Diceros bicornis minor: one gene and its partner. The protein of the gene in region 1 purifies or fractionates together with the protein of each later gene. This does not show direct contact. Links are inferred from orthologs where the notes say so. Each region holds a gene or a part of one and is shown in the gene's direction. Other genes may lie near its edges.

Region 1 (10,806 bases):
CACCATCACCACTACAATCACTCTATCCTCCTCCTCATCCACCTAGCACACAACACTCAGTTGATACCTTTGCTAAGGACTTGCCATATCATGAGGTAAGTTTTAAGGTACCTGTTTTCCTTAACAAATCTGTTCTGCTAGATTGTGCACTAGAGGCCTGGTATCCCCAACACAAGAACATAACAGATGTTCAATAAATGTTTGTTGAATAAATGTTCGATTCATGTCCATAAAATAAATAATATAGTCAACCAACTTTTAACAGACATGTACAATATTCAAGACACTTTGAGCACTGAGCATACGAAGAGAAATAAGCTATGGCCTTCCCTTCAAAAGAATCTGAGATAAAGGACCCCCACATGTAAAGCAAGCAAGTGCAACAAAATGTAACAGAAGCAATGACTTTTTTTAATGTGCAAGAATTACAAAGGAGGAAAAATAAATTCTGACTGGGTGAAGGAAAAAGGGAAGTGGTCAAAAGTAGTTTCAAATAGGACATGAGTTTTGAGTTGCGTTCAAAGAAAACCAGGTGTTCACCAGGTGGACAGGATGGGGAGGAGCATTCCTGGCAGCCCGTGCAGACAACGCAGCATGAGCAAAGCCATAGAGGCATGAAACCATACATGTTCTCTGGAACTACAGGTTAGTATAGCTGGAATGTATTGTATGAAGAAAGCCCCAAGAAGAAATAGGAGCTAAGAACTAGAAAAAAAACGGAGTAGATCAGGATGAATCTTATTTTCGATTTTAAACAGTAGCAGCCAATGGGGAACTATTAAAGTATTTTTAGAAGTGGAAAAGATTTGTTCACATCTAGAATTTAGGAGAAAAAACGATTCTAGTCAAGTCATGGACAATAATTTGAGCAGACTAAGATTTAGGGCAGGGAGAGCAGTTAAGAAACAGTAACAGCAACCACTTGGGCCAGAGTAGATAAGGATACCAGTAAAGGGGATCTACAGTGAAGGGTGTCTAAGGAAATGTTAAGGAGATAGAGCCAAAAAGCCTGGTTACTGGATTGACAAAGAGTGAGGCAGAGGAAGAATTTCAGGGTAACATCCAGTTTTCTGCCTGGGTGACTGGTAAATGGCAATCACTGAGATTTAGAAAACCAGATGAGAAGCCGATTGGGGGAAAAATATACTGAGTTCAGTTGGAACATGTTTTTGTTTGTTTTCTGTTTTTCTAATCGTGGCAAAATACACATAACATAAATTTACCATCTTAACCACTTTTAAGTGTACAGTTCAGTAGCATTATTTTCACAATGTTGTGCAACCAATCTCCAGAACTTTTTCATCTTGCAAAACTGAAACTCTATGTCCATTAAACAACAACTCCCCATTTCCCCCTCCCACCTGCCCCTGGCAACCGTCATTCTACTTTCTGTTGCTATGAGATGACTACTCTCGATATCTCATATAAATGGAATCATAAAATATTTGTCTTTTATGACTGACTTATTTCACTTAGCATAATATCCTCAAGGTTCATCCACGTTATGTGTCAGAATTTTCTTCCTTCCATTTCTTGCTCTCAGATATTATGGCAGTCAAATGAATTCCTGCTAAAATTACATGCTTAAGATCATTAGATTTACCTTATTTAAATGTGATTTGTATTTCTCTGCTCAAAACAGCCAGCAGTTATTTCCCATTCTTCATAAAATCAAGCATATCTCCCTTCACTTCATTTCAAACTCCTCCATATGCACGATCAACACGTAAGGATTCACTATGCACTTTCCACGTGCTTGACATTGTAAAAGAGGATCTGGTGAATACAGATATAAATAAATTTTGTTCTCATCCTTAAAGAGTGTGCAGTCTACATAACAGTGTAGATGCAAATAGGAGATGATATAATTTTCCAGAAATAACTAGTAATATAAAATTTAGTGTTAAAATACGTCAGAATACAGAGGAAGATGGATAATTGGGGCTTAATTCCTCATGGAAGTATCTAGAGAGGAAGAAAAGCTCTATACATGTGCCATTATTCAGGTTGTTCAAAGGACGAAAAGTCTAACCATAACACACCACATGCTTGCCTCTAACTTGTCAAATGATTTGACATTTGAAACTTCATTTTAGCTCTGTTATCCTCCCAAGAAGTGGGTGTAAAGGTGTTATTTTAATATATCAATTCACTGGTGAGGAAACTGAGGAACATTGAGATTTAAGTGACATATTTAAAATTGGCAGCAAATAGCACAGTTAAGCCTAAATGTCCTATCCATTCAAAACACATTTATGAGTACTTGCTAACTACTAGATACCTAGCAAGGCATTTTTATTTGATCTTTACCTCTTGCTATCATTTTAATCATCATCTACTAAGCATTCTCTTTCAGTACTTCTCAGAGATAGATATATTAAAACTGATGCTTTGTTGTTGTTTTTTTTTTTTGCCAAGAACCAACAGATCACACACACCAAAAAAACATTCTTTAAAGTATTTGAACATAACACAAATATAACCAGAATATAAGAAGTATTGTAGTTTGATAAGGTCATAATTTTACACAATATCTTCAAACCACCTGTCTTTGAAGTCTCCCCTGGTGAGGAGGGAGATAAAGACACCTTTAACTAAGGAAGTTTATCCAGGCAAGGAACTCAGATTGGAAGCAAGGAAGGAAGAGGCCTTTTAAAAGTGATTATTAGTGATTTATAGGCTTCTCTGCTTGTGGAAATCTTCATTTTCAAAGCTTAGCTCAAATGCTACCTCCATCATGAAGGCGATTCTGATGCACCAATTATTATTCATCAGTTCTTCAGTTCAGTTTAAGTAACGCCTTGAAAGACGAGCTCATTTCAGGCATCTGAAAGGAGAAAGAGGCTGCTCAGCAAAAGACAATTGGTTCTCCCATGAAACCACCAAAGTTCATTATAGACTCATGGAATGATAAATAGAAAGATGAATAGGACTATAAGTGATTGCCTTATGATACTCCAAGCAGAATATAAAAACTTTCATTCCATTACTGTCAGTAAAGGCCAAGAAGATCTACTAAGTGTTAGGCACCATGCCAGGAATGAGAGTGACATATAAAAAAATGCCCTGCTCGGGCCGGCCCCATGGCATATCGCTTAAGTGCGCGTGCTCCACTGCTATTGGCCCAGGCTCGGATCCTAGGCATGCACCAACGCAACGCTTCTTAGGCCGTGCTGTGGCGGTGTCCCACATAAAGTGGAGGAAGATTGACGCGGATGTTAGCTCAGGGCCAGTCTTCCTCAGCAAAAAGAGGAGGATTGGCATGGATATTAGCTCAGGGCTGATCTTCCTCACAAAAAAAACAAAAAAAGCCCTGCTTGAGGGAGGACTTGGTCTAATGAAGAATCTTAAGAAAACACATATGTAGTCAAATAATTACTACATGATGTGATAGATACATGCCATAGAAGCAGCAAAAGGTCTAGAAGAGAGTAATTAGCTCTTCCCTACTCACTCCCTAATAACTCTGACATCATCTATATCCTCTTCCTCCCTAATTCTACTCTGGCTACATTTTGGGTTCCTTGAATGCCTTAAGTGTGCCTCTGCCTCAGGACCTTTGCACTTCCTATTCCCTCTGTCTGATAGGCTTCACCCAGAAATCCACAGGGCTTATTTTCTCTCTCCATTCACGTCTCTACTCTTATATCACCTCATCAGAGTGGCTTTCCCTGACCACTTGATATAACATAGCATCCTATCCCTCTTCATCATTCTGCTCTGAGTCCTCCTATCCTGCTTACTCTTCTGTATAATCCTTATCATCACTTGACGTATTGTACATTTATGGTTATTGGCTCTCTCCCTCATTAGAATGAAAGCTTCATGAGACGAGCACTTTGCCCTACTCATTACCAAATCTACACAGCCTGGAAGAGTTTCTGACACTTGGTAGACCATTCATAAATATTTATTGAATAAATAAAGAAATGGGAGGAGATGAAGTGGAATTCAGGAAAGATTTCACATACAAAGTTGATTATAACTCAACAGAGTTCAGAAGGAGGTAAGGGATTATCCTAAACAGATAAGGGGGACTGAGAATAGCAGGTAGAGGAGTGTTCAAAGGTAAGAGGGATTAAAACCACATGACTTGTTTAAATGCCATAAGATGCTGTGGTATTGGTGGGATGTAAACACATTTGTGCTTCTATTGTAGCATAGCCACCTTTTCCCTTGTAGAAGAATTAATTGTTTACCACCCCTCTGTCTTTCTCAATAAATTGAGAGCTCTTTAAGGGCAGGGACTCTTTTACTCATATCTTTATTTTCCAAGTTCTTAAACAGCAGATATTCAGTAATTGTTAAATAAATAAATGAAAGAACAATATTTCCACCACCCCCACCAAAGCCCCAGTAGATAGTTGTATGTCATAGCTGCACATCCTTCTAGTTGCTGTATGTGGGACGCGGCCTCAGCATCGCCGGAGAAGCAGTGCGACGGTGCGCGCCCAAATCGGAACCGGGCCGCCAGCAGCGGACCATGCGCACTTAACTGCTAAGCCATGGGCCGGCCCTGAAAGAACAATATTTATTAATTAGAGAGCAAAGTAAACCCACTGATTGATTTTTAAAACTAAAACAGATCACTTTGTTGAAAAGTGAGCATCCTGTTTGAAAACTTTAGAACAGAAAGGGACTTGAGAGATCATCTAATCCAGCTTTCCCATTTTATAGATGAGAAAACTGAAGCATAGAGAGGTTGATTACCTGAGGTCATGCAACTAGGTAGTTATAGTTAACAACTAGAACACCAGTTTTGACCCATCATGTGTCATCTTGAAAGATGTGTTCTCAAAAGTGGCTTGAAAATTTGACATTACCTAGTAAAATAAAAACTGCTCATACTTTATGATCTATCTTGGAGAAAAACTTGTATAAATCCCCAAGAAGTCATTTACAAGGATCTTCATTGCAGTTTTTGTGTGCATCTTAAAGCAAAAAGTTGAAAGCAATCTAAATGTACATCAATAGGGAAATAGCCACATTCACTTTATGAGAACCATGGTATGGCATATTATGAAGCACTTGAAAATGGACATAGTTTGATATACACTAACATGGAAAGGATCTCCAAAACACTGTTGAATTAAAAAAAATAAAAAGCAATCCACAGAATGATACATACAGTACTGTACCTTTTAAGAATCGTTAACCTCAGGTTCTCCTACCAAAACAATACAATGCACCTGAAGTATATGTATAGAAAATTTCAGGATGATGCCCACCAAATACAATGGCTACCTCTGGAAAGGAGAGTAATGGATGAGGTGGTCTTTGACCCGTAATGCTGTATTTTAACAAGCAGAATGCATTATTCACGTATTAGTTTTGCTTTTGTTTGCGGTTTAAAACTAATTTTTGAAGAAAGTGGCCATGAACTATGTTTTCTTCTCTATTTAATGAGAAACAGGGAACTGATAGATAACGATTCTGTATCAAGTCTGATACACATGTAAAGAATGAAATATGGCCTTTCGGAAGATTAAAAAGCAGAAAGAAAGGTTGAGAAGACAAAGCACCAAGGGCAGAAGCAAACAACGCAGCGCTCCTCGGCAAAGGCAATAGAGTTATTAGAAGGAACGTTGGGGGCGGGGAACCGTAGCCGACGCAGGACGCCAGGAAAGAAAGCGACGCTAAAAAGCCAGAGCGGGATTCCACAGGGGCGGGGCCAACTACGGTGCGCACGCGCAACCAGGCCCAGGTGGCCGCCGCCGCGGAAGCGAAACCACCTAGAGACGCCGCGCCGCTTGGATGCTGGTGCGCGTGCGCAGGCGGATGGGGGCTGGCGTCCTCTCCCTTGCAGCCTTCGCCGCCGCGGCCGTCCCCCGTGGATTTGAGTCTCGCGCTTCCTTCGTTCGCTCGCCGGCGGGTTCGCGCCCCCTCGCGCCCCCGGGCAGCGAGGCCGGGGAAGGGGTTGCAAGGGGCTGTTGATCGCCGCCTTTAAGTTGTGCTCGGGGCGGCCATGTCGGCCGGCGAGGTCGAGCGCCTAGTGTCGGAGCTGAGCGGCGGGACCGGAGGGGATGAGGAGGAAGAGTGGCTCTATGGCGGTACGGAACTTCCTGTCCCTTCTCTCTCTCCCGGGTTCTCTCAGGCTTCTCTCCCGGCCTGCAAGCGGCGGGCGTCCGGGGTCCCTCACGCCGCCGCCTGAGGCCTCCAGTGCGGAGCCTTATCCGGCCTGACTTAGGCCGAGCGCGGGGTGCGCGTCCCCCCGCCCCCCCTCGGCCTCCTCGCCCAGCCGACACCCCCAAGGCGCACCCACCCCGCGGCGGCCCGGGCCGGGCTGGGGTCGCGGGACAGGGCCCGAGCCCTCTCGCACACACACCCCTCCCCCCCACCCCGCGAGGGCGTCTCGGCCTCGCCTCCGCTCCTTACTCTGTTTGTTGATATCTATTCTGAGTTGTGTTGGTGTGTCTCTTACCCCTTGGCTCTAGGATGCCTCTCCTGTCCCTTTCTTTCAGCAACAATCATTCTGTAATAATAGCTAAATAAAGTTGATGCTGTAAAACTAACGTCTTGTTTCTTGATGGTCAGTGTGTGTGGAATGCACCTGCAAGGGTACCTCCTTGTCTGAAAGTCGTTCTTTAAAAATAACTAATTAAAAAAGAGAAAGAGAGAGAGAAAGAAAGAGATGGAATACATTATGGCCCATAAAGAAAACCCCGAATGTCTCCTGTATTAAGGTGAAGTTTTTCTTTTTTAAGAGACTGGTCTTTAACCCACATGATAGAAGTACCTCATGTCCCTTAGGCTAATGGTTTTCAGTATCGTCTTGTGCATTTTTTCCCCCTCAAATGTAGAGCATTTTGTACTTCCCTTTTGAAAGGGACTTGTTTGACATCTGGTTTTAACTTTCATTAAGTCACAGTCCTTTCTTTTCTGTTACTGATACTAGATTTAAAAGTTAATACTGGTTCCTTACCTAAAATGTATATTTTTGATGTCTTTAAAATAGTAAAGTAAAAGTGCGCGTTTGGGCACCATGCAGCTCTTTCATGATGTGGCTTGGACAAACTTCTATTTTGATAAACTTGTAAAATAAGTTCATTATCTTTGACGGCAAGGTTTAGCATTAGTAATACTCTCTGAAATGTAAATGTGTAGGGTATCTTTTACAAAGATCTAGAAATCTTTAATACCTCTTAAATTAAGCTTATTTTTGTAGAAGTAAAGTCTGATTTTTTTTTTTCATAAAAGACATATCTTGTTACATCATTATAAGGTGATCTAACTTTGGATGTGCTTATAGGCCCATGGGACGTGCATGTGCACAGTGATTTGGCAAAGGACCTAGGTTAGTGCTTGTGATGATCACTTCAGATTTTCATAATACTGGTTTCTTTGAGAGTGGTTTGTTTGTTAATTTTATTTATTTATTTATGTATTCTTTTTGGTAGATGAAAATGAAGTTGAAAGGCCAGAAGAAGAAAATGCCAGGTTAGTGAAATTTCTTGGTGTGATACAGTGGTTCAATTAACAAATTGTCAGAATTATCTCCTTATAATCATTGACTTGATTACAACATTTTGACTGAAGGTTGAAAGACATTGAATCATTCAGAGTTTATTTTTGTTTCAGGACCTAATCTTATATTAATTCTGTTTATTTGCTAGTAGCTTAGGGGACAAAAGTTTTTGAAGTAAGGATTTGGATAATTTTCACTGTTAAGTAACTTTTTATACTTAAGTGAGCTCAATAGTGGAGTATACAGTAACCATTAGACTACTAAGAAAAAAATTTTAGCTTAAAAAATTTTTTTAGATAATAAAGAATCCTTTAAATTACTGCTTTTACAATTAATATTTTTGAGGGTGTAAGGCACTTTGGTTATAATTTCAGTGTTTTGTATTTATTTAAATTCAAAGTGGAATTAATGAATTTGTTATGAGATTGATTCTCCTTGTTAGATTACTGGAAAGGTATGAGTATTGTTTACAGAACATATACAGGGAGCCAGAAACTTATTCTAAATTTCAAAACAGCTCACGCATACAAGTACATGGATATGCTGACTTTACTCTCACCAGATGCCTTGGTGTCCTATAAGGGGGGAGGAGTGGTTAAAAAAAGCTTTTAAAGAATATTTGCATTTAAAAAGTGGAGGAAATACCACTTCACACCCTCTAGGATGGCCATAATCAAAAAAACTGATAGTATCGGATGTTGGTAAGGATATGGAGAGATTAGAACCCTCATACACTGATGGTGGGATTGTAAAATGGTGCAGCTACTTTGAAAAACAGTCTGGCAGTTCCTCAAAATGTTAAACATAGAGTTAGCATATGACCCAGGAATTCTGCTCCTAGATGTCTACCTTAGAGAAATGAAAACATATGTCCACACAATAACTTGTACATGAATGTTCTTAGCAGCATTATTCATAATAGCCAGAAAATGGAAATAGCCCAAGTGTCCATCAAATAATGAATGGAGAGATAAAATGTGGTATATCCATACTGGAGTACTATTTGGTAGTAAAAAAAAAAATGAAGTACTGCTATGTGTTACAAAATGGATGAACCTTGAAAACATTATGCTAAGTGTAAGAAGCCAATCACAAAAGCCTACATATTGTATGATTCTATTTTTATTAAATGTATGGAATAGATAAATCCATAGAGACAGAAAATAGTAGTTGCCAAGACAGGGGACAGGGGAAAATGGGGAGTGACTACTAATATATACAAAGTTTCTTTTTGGGGTGAGGAAAATGTTCTGAAATCACATAGTTGCGATGGTTGCACTATTCTGTAAACATACAAAAAATCGTTCAGTTATACACTTCAAATGGGTGGATTGTGTGGTATATCAATTAGATCTCAAAATTTATTTATTTATTTTTAAAGATTTATTTATTTATTTATTTTTTCCCCCCAAAGCCCCAGTAGATTGTTGTATGTCATAGCTGCACATCCTTCTAGTTGCTATATGTGGGACGCGGCCTCAGCATGGCCGGAGAAGTGGTGCGTCGGTGCGCGCCTCGGATCCGAACCCGGGCCGCCAGCAGCGGAGCGCGCGCACCTAACCGCTAAGCCACGGGGCCGGCCCTCAAAATTTATTTTTAAAAAAAGTGAATGGAGGGAAGAAGTGAGAAGTGGACATGGAAATAGCTTAGGGGGTACTGAAATTAGAGTATTCTTCCTCACTTAAAAATATCTCCTGTATTGGAAGACTATTTTTTCCACTCATTGCTGTATGATCTGATATTTTATCATTTAGTTTTGAAATTTATGTATCCAACCTAGTTCCTAACCCTAATCTCACTTAATCCCAAAGTTGGCATTTGTGTGGTTTATAGTTATGAAAGTAATTAAATATTTCTTCATACTGCATTTTTCAATTGGTCAAGAAATTAATTGATAACAGGGTACAGATTCACAATCAAATACACATTGTTTATGAGCTAATCTTTATTCCATTAATTTTTGTTTGTATTCTTAGCTGCAATTCTCGAAACTTATTTTCTGATTGAACATTCTTTAATTTTAATTCCTCAGTACACAGCTTGATTAAATTTATTGGAGAGAAGCCTTCTATTTTCCCTGAGCATCACTGTCAAAAAGTCTTTATATTCCTTATTAAAACTTTATTTGGAGAGCTCTTAAGTTTATTTCATCCTATGGAAAAGATCTGCCCTTAAAATTTTATTTTTTTAGAAGAAGCATATAATTTTATCATGTTTCTGGCATTTTAATGGTGATAGAGAATTAAAACTTTAAAAATCTATTGGGGAAGAGAGGAAGAGAGCTCCACCAAACCTATGTTCTTTTTTTTTTTAAGATTTTATTTATTTATTTTTCCCCCAAAGCCCCAGTAGATAGTTGTCTGTCATAGCTGCACATCCTTCTAGTTGCTGTATGTGGGACGCGGCCTCAGCATGGCTGGAGAAGCGGTGCGTCGGGTGCGCGCCCGGGATCCGAACCTGGGCCGCCAGCAGTGGAGTGCGCGCACTTAACCGCTCAGCCACGGGGCCGGCCCAAAACCTATGTTCTATTATCCAGCTTGGTGCATCATTACGTTACCCTAACAGAGTCCTTACTATTTTTCTAGCTTCTTTGTGACTAGTTCATTGTTAATATCTCTGTTCTTTTTAACCGTTGCATTACACTGTCTCCAATCTGTCATGTTCTATCTATGCAAGTTTTGGCTCAACGTATGTTTTGTGACATAAAAAGCAAGCTGAACTTCTTTCTGCCTACCTAGAAGCTTATTTAAGCAGGAGGTAAATGTACTGAAGAATTATAGTTGCATATTTGTTTTCTTGGGTCAAGCAATAGAACAATGAAAATTTAACAGATAAGTTTTCAGTTTTTGTCCTTCATTTTGCTTTATTTGGAGATTGTATTGTGAAATACCACTGTAGAGATTAAATTGACTTATATAGAAACTGCTTGACAAAAAGTGAAGTTTAGAAGAGATTAGCAGAAATGTAATAAAAAGAGCTTTGTACTATATCAACTTCTGGACATTTTTCTTGGAAGTGCTACTAAATAATTGTGAATTAGTTGCTTTGTACTTCAATTTCCTTTTCTGTAAAATGAAGTTAACAGTTAATTCCCACTATCAAAATTATAATTATTAAAAATATGACACCAATTACACTACAGTACTAAAAGTTTTATTTGATGGTTAATGGCCATATGCTTGTGTCTCATATGGAAATAAGAGTATTTTATTGTTATATATCAATTTTGTTGTAATGGCAAACTCAGGTATTAGCTGGCCTTAAAAAGTAATTAGTTTTTTATTCATCAGAATTAGGTCTGGAGCTCCTTATAGTATCAAATTGGAAGGCAGTCTTACATG
Region 2 (11,188 bases), on another chromosome or scaffold:
ACATGGCTATATGCTCAAATAGGTATCCTGTGTGCCAGACCAATGCAGGGTTGTGTAAGCCTCAATCCTCCACAGTCAAAGGTCACACAGGCCCTTTTCATAAAAATGAATGAGTGGAATTTCAGCCAACTAAATATTTGAAGAGTGCATTTCATGGTTTAGTATAAGAACCTAGTGAGCATCAAAAATGATCAGTAAAATTCTCATTGAAGTGTTCTAGAGGATTAAGCCTAAAAATTATCCATGTTCAACTACAAATCTACTACAAATTAAAATGACAATGTTATCCAAGGTTGTCTCGATACAATTTTTAAAATAATATAATCTGACGACAGATCATTAGTTCACCCAGCTCAACCCCTTCAAAGATAAAAATGGAGATACAGACTCAAAAATAAATAGCATTAGACTAAAATTTGGGTCTCTTTCCACTTAAGATGCTGCTTCATCTGCTACTATTAATTCTATATAACAAGTGTAGACTAATAATTACCATACAAAATAACAATAAAAACAAATACGTTATGTATTCCATGCAACAATCCAATACAAGTGATATTGTTCCCACTTAATTGATGCAGAAATGGAAGCACAGAGAGGTTAAGTAATTTGTCTAAGGCTACACAGTTACTTGTTGAACTAGGCAGCCAACCCAAGTCTCTCTGACTTCAAAGTCTATATTCTTAACTTCTTCACTCTACTACCCCTAAGAAGTGCTGAGAGCATAGTTTGGATGAGGAAGTCTGAAGATCTAGATCCCATTACAAGCTAGGCCAATAACTAGGCATCTGACCCTGATTGAGTCCCTTGTCTTCCCTAGACTTTATTTTCTTCATATATTAAAAAAACGAGGTTGTACAACACAATCGCTTCCAAGGAGAACATTTGGTTCTGTCCAACCTCCAGCCCTGGAATGGCATATTCCCAGCAGTCCCAAATTCATGTAATCTTCCTCTTGCCAATAAAAGTGATTCATCTCATGTATAAGTAATGAAATTTACTATTTCTTCCTCTGTACATTGTTTCATAATAAATATATTTAAAAATTGGGAGAAAATGTCACAGACCAACCTAATTTGGGGTTTGAGAAATCTGGGCTCTTTCATTTTATGGAAAACGTATTTGTATCCATTTAACTAGATATTTTTAAAAATCCTTAAGTGATGTTTAACTACAGCCATGCAAATTGCAAAAGGAAACATTTTCTCCCTCGCTTTAGTCTTTAGACCTTATAGTCCATCTGTTGCCACAGCACTGATTGTGATGTCAAAATTGCAATTAGTTACACTCAGAGACAATCAGTAAAAAGGCCAAGGGAGATTGTGTTCAGGCCTCAATACCACACTAATTATGAAGTAGGAGGTTTAAAATCAAGAGAACTAATTTCAGGCTGTAGCTCTGCCACTGACTAGCTATGTCTCCTTGATAAACTCATTTAATGGAATAATAATTCAAGAGCTTGAGTTCTTGAGTCAAATGATGTATGTTCAAAACCTGGCTCTGCCAGTTATGATGGGCACTCTGTTAACCTCTCTGTGCCTCTGTTTCTTTAGTTATAAATTCAGACACTATGACTGCCTATCTCAGAAGGGTTGTTGAAAGGATTAAATAAAATATTGTATTTTATAAAGCACTTATCAGAGGAACTCCTTCCTATTAAGTGATCAGAGTTAGCTTTTATGAATAGTATCTGTATTTTGAGTGAGTCCATTGTTAAAGTTCTAGGTAACAGTTCTCTGTTAAAACATCTTTAAAATCAGAATACAACTGTATATACCTCACATGATTGTTGTCAAGATCAGATGTGGGAGCCCAAAGAAAAGTGTTCTGTAAGCTGAAAGCATTAAATTATCATTTTGTTAACATGTAATCTGTTATTACAAGATGATTTTGTATTAATTTTAAAAATATTTACTGAGTGCTTGGAATATAAAAGGCACTGGGCTAAGCAATATGAACAAAATAAATCAGATATGGGTCTGTGCTTAAGTGGTAACACAAGAATACTAGCACCTCTATTACAATATAGAAAATAATGGGTGCCAAATCAATACTCTACTTTAAAAAGAAAGTCTTTAGGGTGAGAACTGAAGGACAAGAAGGATTTAGACATGGAGAGATGAGGAGAGAAAGACGGAAAAGAAGACATCCTCAAAGAAGGAATAGTAGATCAAAAGCTAGGAGCAAAAGCTAGAAGGTGGAAAAGCACAGATCATGTGTGGTGAAAAATGAGGGGTACAATTTAGCCAGAGGAGAATATATGAAGGCGGCAAGTGAGTAATGAGAATGAAGCCATGTTATAGAAGATGTTAAATACAGGAAGAGCCACTGCTACATTAGATTAAAAAATTATAATGATGTAAAAAGGATAGTCCAAGTGCAAAAGATATCATGGAGAAGGACTGGATAAAATTGGTATTCTTAAACCTCTGCCATTTTTATTCTATGTTCATGATTCAGAAAGATGGAAGAAAGCCTACTGACTCTCACATCAAGTTTAGATTCATGAATCTGATCTTCAAAACCTTTTGTAATCTGTCCCAAAAGACAATCTTTTATCACACTACTCACGAACTCTCTATTGGTTTCCTCTGGGGGCATCAAAAACACTAGGTTTCAATTTCATGTCTTGGCTATTCCTAGCTCCTGGCTTAGTCTCTTCATCTTTTGTTTATACATACCAGATTATAACCCATCCCTTAAATCCCAGCTCCATTAGGAAGCCTTCCTTGATGATCTAGACCTTATCACTCTCTTCAATCTCTACATACTTCATTACATATCTACTTTATCAAACAGTAACATGAAAGAACTATCACTGACCTAGGAATAAAATGACAAGGGTCTTGACAGCAGGCCCCTATTCTGATTTTGGGCATGCTTTTAATGCTACAGGTTTCCTCTTGCGTAAAATGAAGAATTTGTGACTTAGCTAACTCGAAGGTCACCTCCCATCATTCATTCAACATACAATGAGCACCCACCTGTGCTAAGCTCTATCCTAGGTGCTGAGGATACAGTGGAGAAGAAGACAATGTATCTATGTATCTATCTATCTACCTACCTACCTATCTATAATTGTCTCCCTTTAGTTCAGTGGTTCTCAAACTTTAGCCTGCATTAGAATCACCTGGGGAGCTTGTTGAACCACAGATTTCTGGGGACCGGCCCGGTGGACTAGTGGTTAAGTTCCCATACTTTGCTTTGGCAGCCCAAGGTTCACAGGTTCAGATCCCAAGTGTGGACCTACACACCACTTATCAAACTATGCTTGGCAGGAGTCCCACATATAAAGTAGAAGAAGATGGGCACAGATATTAGCCGGCACCAATCTTCTTCAGCAAAAAGAGGAGGATTGGCAACAGATGTTAGCTCAGGGCTAAGCTTCCTCACACACACACACACACACACACACACAAAAAAAAAAACCCACAGATTTCTGTACACACACATACACGCACACCAAGAGTTTCTGATGCAGTAGGTTTGGAGTGGTGCCGGAACTTTTGCATCTCTAAGATGTTTCTAGGTGATGTTCATGTTACTGAACACTTACAGAATCTATGTTCTAGTGGAATGTTTATCTTTTTCACTGCAGTATTGCCAGTGCTTACAATAAATATTTATGGAAGAGAATAAATATGTCACTTTGTTAATTGACAAAGGGAAATCTAGCTCTTTCCTTGAATGATGTCATAGTTTAGAAGGAAAAATCATAATTCTACTAAAAAGTAGAAGAGTTACTATCATCAGAAAGGTATGGATAAGGAATGGTTTATATCCAAAGGAAAATGAACTCACTTTCAACCTAGAGGAAGAAGGAGTAAGATTAGAGAGAACTTCATCGGGGAGTGTATTTGATCTATTCTTTGAAGGACCCATACACTTATTTCAAAAATGCCTGTCATAACTAAAAATATTTTTAGTACCTCGTTTTGGAATTTGTCTAATTAATCTATGGTGAATCTTTTTTAATACCTGCAAGTCTACAGAATCTTTGTATTCTGATATAAGTTTTGATGTTTGGAAATAGCTAAATATCATATTTTTGCCAAGTCTGGTCAGAAAGTTAGGTGATTTAGTTGCATAACTCTTGGTTGAAAACAAGGTATACCTTTGAGTTAAGGCAGCAGTTTTCTAGTATGACTTTCAAATGGAGCCCTAAAACAATTTCAGGGTAGGAGTTCACTTGAACAATGGAAGCCTTATGGATTATGTTTATACTTTCTGAAGGTGGTTAGTTTGAAGAACAGCTCCCACTTGGCCATATGCTCTGATGTGTTTGTTTAAAAATCATTCTTAGTACAGTTGATATTTTGATTTATTGAAAGAATCAATGTTTGAACATGCAAGATGCCATGTACATTTTTCTTCAAAGTATATGCCATGCTATAAAAATCTAAAGTTTAAACATCCTGGGAACAAAGAAAGCAGTATAAAATGAAAGTTCTTCCAAGGTAGATCTATGAAAAGTATGTATTGGTACCAGGAAACGTGCACAGGTTCCTAACAGCTCTTGGTAATTCTGGGCCACTCAGTTACTAATAAATATTAGCTTATGCATCCTGGGCATTGAGCTATGTGCTGGGTCACAATGGTCCTCTCTGAAGGGCCATATTAAACCATTCTTCTGGTTTTGAATAGGGGGACTAAACAGAACATGGAAGGCCTGTGACAAAAATCACACTCTTACAGTGATGCCTTCTCCCTTCTTGTTCATCCCCAGAGTTCCTCAGCTACTCTGTTCACGCATCCTTTGTGCCCAGAGTATCTTCAGTGTGGGATCAGCATGTACTAGCTATACTGGATCAGCATTAAAATATTAATAGATTTTTTAAAGACCACTCATATCTCATACCTTTTAACAGTGTACTAAATTTACGTTGGCCTGACATAAACCGAAAACAAAACAAAACAAAACTACTTCAAGTCCTTTCGTTTAGATCAATGATTCTTAAAGTGGGGGTCCCCAAACCAGCAGCATCAGCATCACCTGAGAACTCGTTAGAAATGCAAATTCTCCAGTCCCACCCTAGAAACACTGAATCAGAACTGAGGCGGGGCAGTGGTGAGGCCCAGCAATCTGACTTAACAAACCAGGCTCCAGGTGGTTCTGATACATGCTGAAGTGTGAGGACCACTTGTTTAGATACTATCAGCACCAGCAAAGAAACTCTGTCAAATAAGCTGTGCAACCTATCATGAACTTTACAACTTATTCTAATAGCCTCTTATTATCCTTAAGATTACTACACTTAATACACACACAATTACACACATGACCGATGTCTAAGTTGTCCTTGACAGATTGTGTGTAGAAAAGTCATGGCTTCTCTCTGCAAAGGGATAGTACGGAAAGGAGACAAACGGACTTGTTTTTAGACAAATGGACTTGTTTTTAGTTTTCCAAAATAATACCATCCTCAACTTCTCTCCACCCCTGCCCCACCTCCAATAAAAGAATCAGGAGGGAAAAACCATTACTAGCAAGTGGCTATTCTGTTTCTTTCACGTACCAGGAAGATTTTATTAGGTCATATAAATACACTTTATTACTTGCAGATATAAATTATCATGCACCTTGAGTAAATAGCTATGTCCAAGCCTGTTTTAAAGAATTATTAAAACACTTGAAGGTAAATGGATGTTTTGTCTAAATTGTAGCTAAACCCATCATTTCAGATCTATTCATTGGACTATGACACCCAAGAACATAACACAATTTTTTGATGAAACAAAGTTTCATAAGCTCCTCAAAGGGCATATGTAGAATTAAGAGGTAAGACAGACTCTAGAACAGTGCAGTTCATAAACATATAATGCAATACATATATATAATTTTAATTTTTCTAAGTAACTACATTAAAAAAAGTAAAGTGAAATGAGTGATATTAATGTTAAAATATATTTTGTTTAATCCAATATATTAAAAATATCATTTCAACATGTAAACAATACAAAATTAGACATATTTTAACTTTTTTTATACCTAAGTCTTCAAAATCTTGCATGTATTTTACACGTATAGCACATCCCAATCAGAATGCTAAATTTTAACTGTAAATACTTGATTTTTATTTTGATTTAATAAAATTTATCATTGCAAAAGTAGATTCCATACCCAAACATCCTAAAAAGTTTTCCATTAGCCTAACTGAATCAGTTTTTATATTTAAATTAATAAAAATTAAATAAAATTAAAAGTTCAATTTCTTAATCACACTAGCCACATTTCAAGTACCCAATAGCTACAAGTGGCTGGCGGCTGCCACATGCAGCAGCGCAGCTCTGGAGCTACAACAGACCAACCGGCATAAGAATTCTGGCTTTGCCGTTTACTGGCTGCTTAGCAAATTACCTAGGTCTCCCCAAGTTTCAGTTCTATCGTCTGTTAAACGGAGGAAAAAACCTAGGCTCCACATATGTTTCAACTTCTGCCGGCAAAACTAACAGACTAGAAACAACTACAGTTTGTTTTTCCCTTCATAGTAGAGGTGTGAGATCATTGCCTCAGTTTATAATAATCAGAACCAATCTAAATGCCTCCAGTATAAGAATAAATTCATTTAATTCACGCTCTGCAGTCTTTAAATGCTATTTATTATTAACCACTTAATATAATTAAGGGAAAAAAGGGTAATACTATGAATAGCTCGACTGCTGCCTGGATGCACAGAGGAAAACCCGGCCGGTCCCGTCGCCTATCAAACAGCGGTTATCCGAAGCAACCAGATGGGGGGGGGGGGGATGGATGGAGCAGGCTCATTTGCGCGGCGTGTATTTCGGGGCAGGTATTTTCCAAAAATGTTTTTCTAAAACGGAGCGATTACTTTTGTATTTTCAGGAGCAAATCCCAAATCTGTTTTGAAACGACTACACTTTCCCCTCTTGGTCTAGAATGTGATTTTAAATATAGCTTAAATATAAGGAGACACTGCTATACGAAAACCCTTCCAGCAGAACGAAGAACACACCGCCTTAGCTTTCGGTTGGCGGTTTCCCGCCGGCAAACCGAAACAAAGCCGCCCTTGACGTCAAAGGAGGCCGCCTCTGCTGGTTACCATGGTGAAGTCTATGCGGCCATCTTTACTGGGGTCAAGGCGCACCGGGCTTTTCCTGGCGGGGGTGGTGGCGCGCCATGGAAAGTCTGCGGATTAAGAGACGAGAAAGGAATCCTGCGTCTGGGTAAGAAGGAGCTGACAGAACCACAAACGATCAAGGGCAAAAAGCATTAGCTAATTAAGTTAGTGGAACAAAGAGGCGCAGATTTCGCGGAACGACTCAAGCCGACTACTGAGGTTTCTGCCCGGAGTTTAAAAGCTGCTTCCGTTGCTCAGCGGAAGTGTGGGTCGCAAGAGGACGACTCTGGGAAGAATCCGTTCTCCGCCGTGTCTGCACAACCGGAATCATGTCGAGCTTGGCGGTGAGAGACCCAGCAATGGATCGATCACTGCGTTCCGTGTTCGTGGGGAACATTCCGTATGAGGCAACTGAGGAGCAGTTAAAGGACATTTTCTCAGAGGTTGGTTCTGTTGTCAGTTTCCGGCTGGTGTACGATAGAGAGACCGGAAAACCCAAGGGTTATGGCTTCTGCGAGTATCAAGACCAGGAAACCGCGCTTAGTGCCATGCGGAACCTGAACGGGCGGGAGTTCAGCGGGAGAGCGCTTCGGGTGGACAATGCTGCCAGTGAGAAGAACAAGGAGGAGTTAAAGAGCCTAGGGCCTGCAGCGCCCATCATTGACTCACCCTATGGGGATCCCATCGATCCAGAAGATGCCCCAGAATCAATTACCAGAGCAGTTGCTAGTCTCCCCCCGGAGCAGATGTTTGAGCTGATGAAGCAGATGAAGCTCTGTGTCCAAAACAGCCACCAGGAAGCTCGAAACATGTTACTTCAAAACCCACAGCTGGCTTATGCACTGTTGCAGGCACAAGTAGTGATGAGAATCATGGATCCAGAGATTGCTCTGAAAATTCTGCATCGCAAGATACATGTCACACCACTCATCCCAGGCAAATCTCAGTCTGTCTCCGGCCCTGGCCCGGGTCCTGGGCTATGCCCAGGCCCTAATGTTCTGCTCAACCAGCAGAATCCTCCAGCCCCTCAGCCTCAGCATCTGGCTAGAAGACCTGTGAAAGACATCCCTCCTCTGATGCAGACCCCGATCCAGGGTGGAATTCCAGCCCCGGGGCCAATACCAGCCGGGGTTCCTGGACCTGGTCCCGGTTCCTTAACTCCTGGTGGAGCAATGCAGCCCCAAGTTGGAATGCCAGGGGTTGGTCCGGTGCCTTTAGAGCGAGGACAGGTGCAGATGTCGGATCCTAGAGCGCCTATGCCTCGTGGACCCATGACTGCTGGTGGCCTGCCTCCTCGAGGACTGTTAGGAGATGCTCCCAATGACCCACGTGGAGGGACTTTGCTTTCAGTCACTGGAGAAGTAGAGCCCAGAGGCTATCTTGGTCCACCTCATCAGGGTCCCCCTATGCACCATGCCTCTGGTCATGACAACCGTGGCCCTTCTTCACATGAGATGAGGGGAGGGCCATTAGCAGATCCCAGACTGCTAATTGGAGAGCCCAGAGGACCTATGATAGATCAAAGGGGCCTACCTATGGATGGCAGAGGTAGTAGAGATTCTCGAGGGATGGAGACTCGAGCCATGGAAACTGAGGTCTTGGAGACACGAGTAATGGAGAGAAGAGGAATGGAGACCTGTGCAATGGAAACCAGAGGAATGGAAGCAAGAGGCATGGATGCAAGAGGAATGGAGATAAGGGGCCCTGGTCCTAGTTCGAGAGGCCCTATGACTGGTGGAATCCAGGGTCCTGGACCCATTAATATGGGGGCAGGTGGTCCTCAGGGACCCAGACAGGTCCCAAGCATTTCAGGGGTGGGAAATCCTGGAGCTGGCATGCAGGGGGCAGGCATACAAGGAGCAGGCATGCAGGGAGCGGGCATACAAGGGACAGGCATGCAGGGAGCGGGCATACAAGGAACAGGCATGCAGGGAGCAGGCATACAAGGAGTAGGCATGCAGGGGGCGGGCGTACAAGGAACAGGCATGCAGGGGGCAGGCAAGCAAGGTGGAGGCCAGCCTAGCAGTTTTAGTCCTGGGCAGAGCCAAGTAACTCCCCAGGATCAGGAAAAGGCAGCTTTGATCATGCAGGTTCTTCAACTGACTGCAGATCAGATTGCCATGCTGCCTCCTGAGCAAAGGCAGAGCATCCTGATTTTAAAGGAACAGATCCAGAAATCTACGGGAGCTTCTTGAAAAGTTTTAGAAAATATTTAGCAGTAGTCCCAGAAAGTTTTTTTGTAATGGAGAATGGGTGCAGAAAGCTGACTTCTGCATCCCCACACTTGAATGATTAGAGTTTCTCTCCTCCCAGAACCTAATCTTATTTCTTCTTGTTGTCTTTTTCTTTTTTTCTGTTTTCCTTTTTATTTTTAATTGGGGGGGTAGGGGGAGGAAGGGGTGGGTCTGTTCAATTCATTGTAAATGTACAAAAATAACTCTGAACATGATTATATTATACCAAATAGGATTACAAAGAATATTCAGCAATATTAAAAATGTCTACAATATGTTAACTACATTTTTAAAAATACTGAGTAAAATGATGTGAAAACTGCACATAAAGACTAAGAGATGACCTATTAAAATGGTAATGTACTAATAAGATAGTTTAAGGTTTTTGTTTGTATAAGAAAATAAAGAAATTGACCACAAAATTTTAAGATATATTTTTTGGTAAGCCATTTAAAATACAAAATCCTGTTTTGGGGGTGATAGAACGTATTAGTTGAAGCATCGTTTTAGTGTTTTGGAATTCTTTTGAAACATTAGAGCTAACAGGATAAGTCTAGCTTGTGGTATTGGAATTTTTTTTTTCTAAAGCTGTGCTACCTGAAAAATCAAGGAATGCATCTGGTGTGATGTGATGTTTTATTTATCTCACCCTTCAGGGACCAGCAATATTCAGGCCTTGCCCTGAGCAGGATGATTTTGCTGGGACAGTTCTAGGATCAACCGGGTTACTTAAGTCTTCTCTGATGAGAGTCAATATCTCTCGCACTATCTTCCCATTTCTCAGTAGTCTTTAAGCCCTAAATGTGAATCTGAGTAATTCTCTCACACCCTTCCCAAACATCAGCATCTAGGGACCAGTTGATCTGGATGAGTTATACACAGCATTGGGCTTTTCATAAATAGTGGAAGGCTTCATGCATTAGAGCTCTCAGTTTGCTGGTTACTAGCTTCCATATACAGATGGTATCCATCTGGTCAACCAGAATCAGGAGTTAAAAATCTTAATCTGAGCAACATTTAACATGCCTTTTAGTTTTCTTATTTCAAAATCTACCTATCTATCACCATCTTATCAGAATAATTGAGGCCCAGGTAGGTAGAGATATTCTTGTAGCCTTAATTCCCTGCTCAGTTGGTTATTACTCACTTTACTTTTTACAAGTAATAAAGTTATTGAGTCCTAATATATATACCCATGAGACATTTAAAAATCAGTAGGAAGGTCGGGCTATCACATTTTCTTTAGAGCTACTACCTAATTTATTTTTAAGCCTTGAGGATATAGACACAAAAATTTGTGTCATAGACCAACTAGTAATTAACAGAACCATAAACACACAAATAACCAGATGATCTTACTCTGGAGAAGAAAAACCAATATCTAGTTAAGAGGAAAAAATATCATTTAATGAGAGAGCTGAGACTTGGAAATTGAATTATTTTCCCCTTGCAAAGTTTTTACATCTTAAATGGGTAATTCATTTTTTACAAAGTTTTTATCCCTATGCTGTTGTTTCCTGCTACCTGTTTTACTCCTCTTTTTACTGTTGTTGATACTGTTAACTTTCTCCTGTTTTCTGTATGCTTCCCCTGTATTGGAGGGGATGACTCTCCTTTATGTGTGATAGTTCCAGGCAATAGTAATTCACCGAGTTGGCTTGATTCCTTTGAAATTATAGTTGTTTTATCCCAAAGCTTTCACTGAAGGGCTTTAACTGAAAACTATTAAATGTTATGCTCTTGGTTGTAGTAAGATCCGTGCATTGTTTAATGCAGACTAAATAAAATGTACAATTAAGGCTGACTTTAATATCTGATGTTTATTTTTAATGAATGCATTATTCAAAAGTTATCTATTCTTGAGAGCCCCATGGG

What was found.
Region 2: the proteins of FIP1L1 (region 1) and CSTF2T purify together in Homo sapiens (co-immunoprecipitation; 3 studies listed by BioGRID and IntAct, with this or other methods). This does not show direct contact. The link is inferred for Diceros bicornis minor from reciprocal best matches to the Homo sapiens genes FIP1L1 and CSTF2T.

Annotation. Positions count from the first base shown.
Region 1 is NC_080747.1:41,486,602-41,497,407, forward strand, and holds the start of FIP1L1 (pre-mRNA 3'-end-processing factor FIP1), read left to right. Parts: upstream 1-5,753; 5' UTR 5,754-5,965; coding exon 5,966-6,050; intron 6,051-7,249; coding exon 7,250-7,294; intron 7,295-7,397; coding exon 7,398-7,437; intron 7,438-10,806.
Region 2 is NC_080745.1:52,119,247-52,130,434, forward strand, and holds CSTF2T (cleavage stimulation factor subunit 2 tau variant), read left to right. Parts: upstream 1-7,152; 5' UTR 7,153-7,408; coding exon 7,409-9,274; 3' UTR 9,275-11,117; downstream 11,118-11,188. UniProt on the Homo sapiens protein: May play a significant role in AAUAAA-independent mRNA polyadenylation in germ cells. Directly involved in the binding to pre-mRNAs.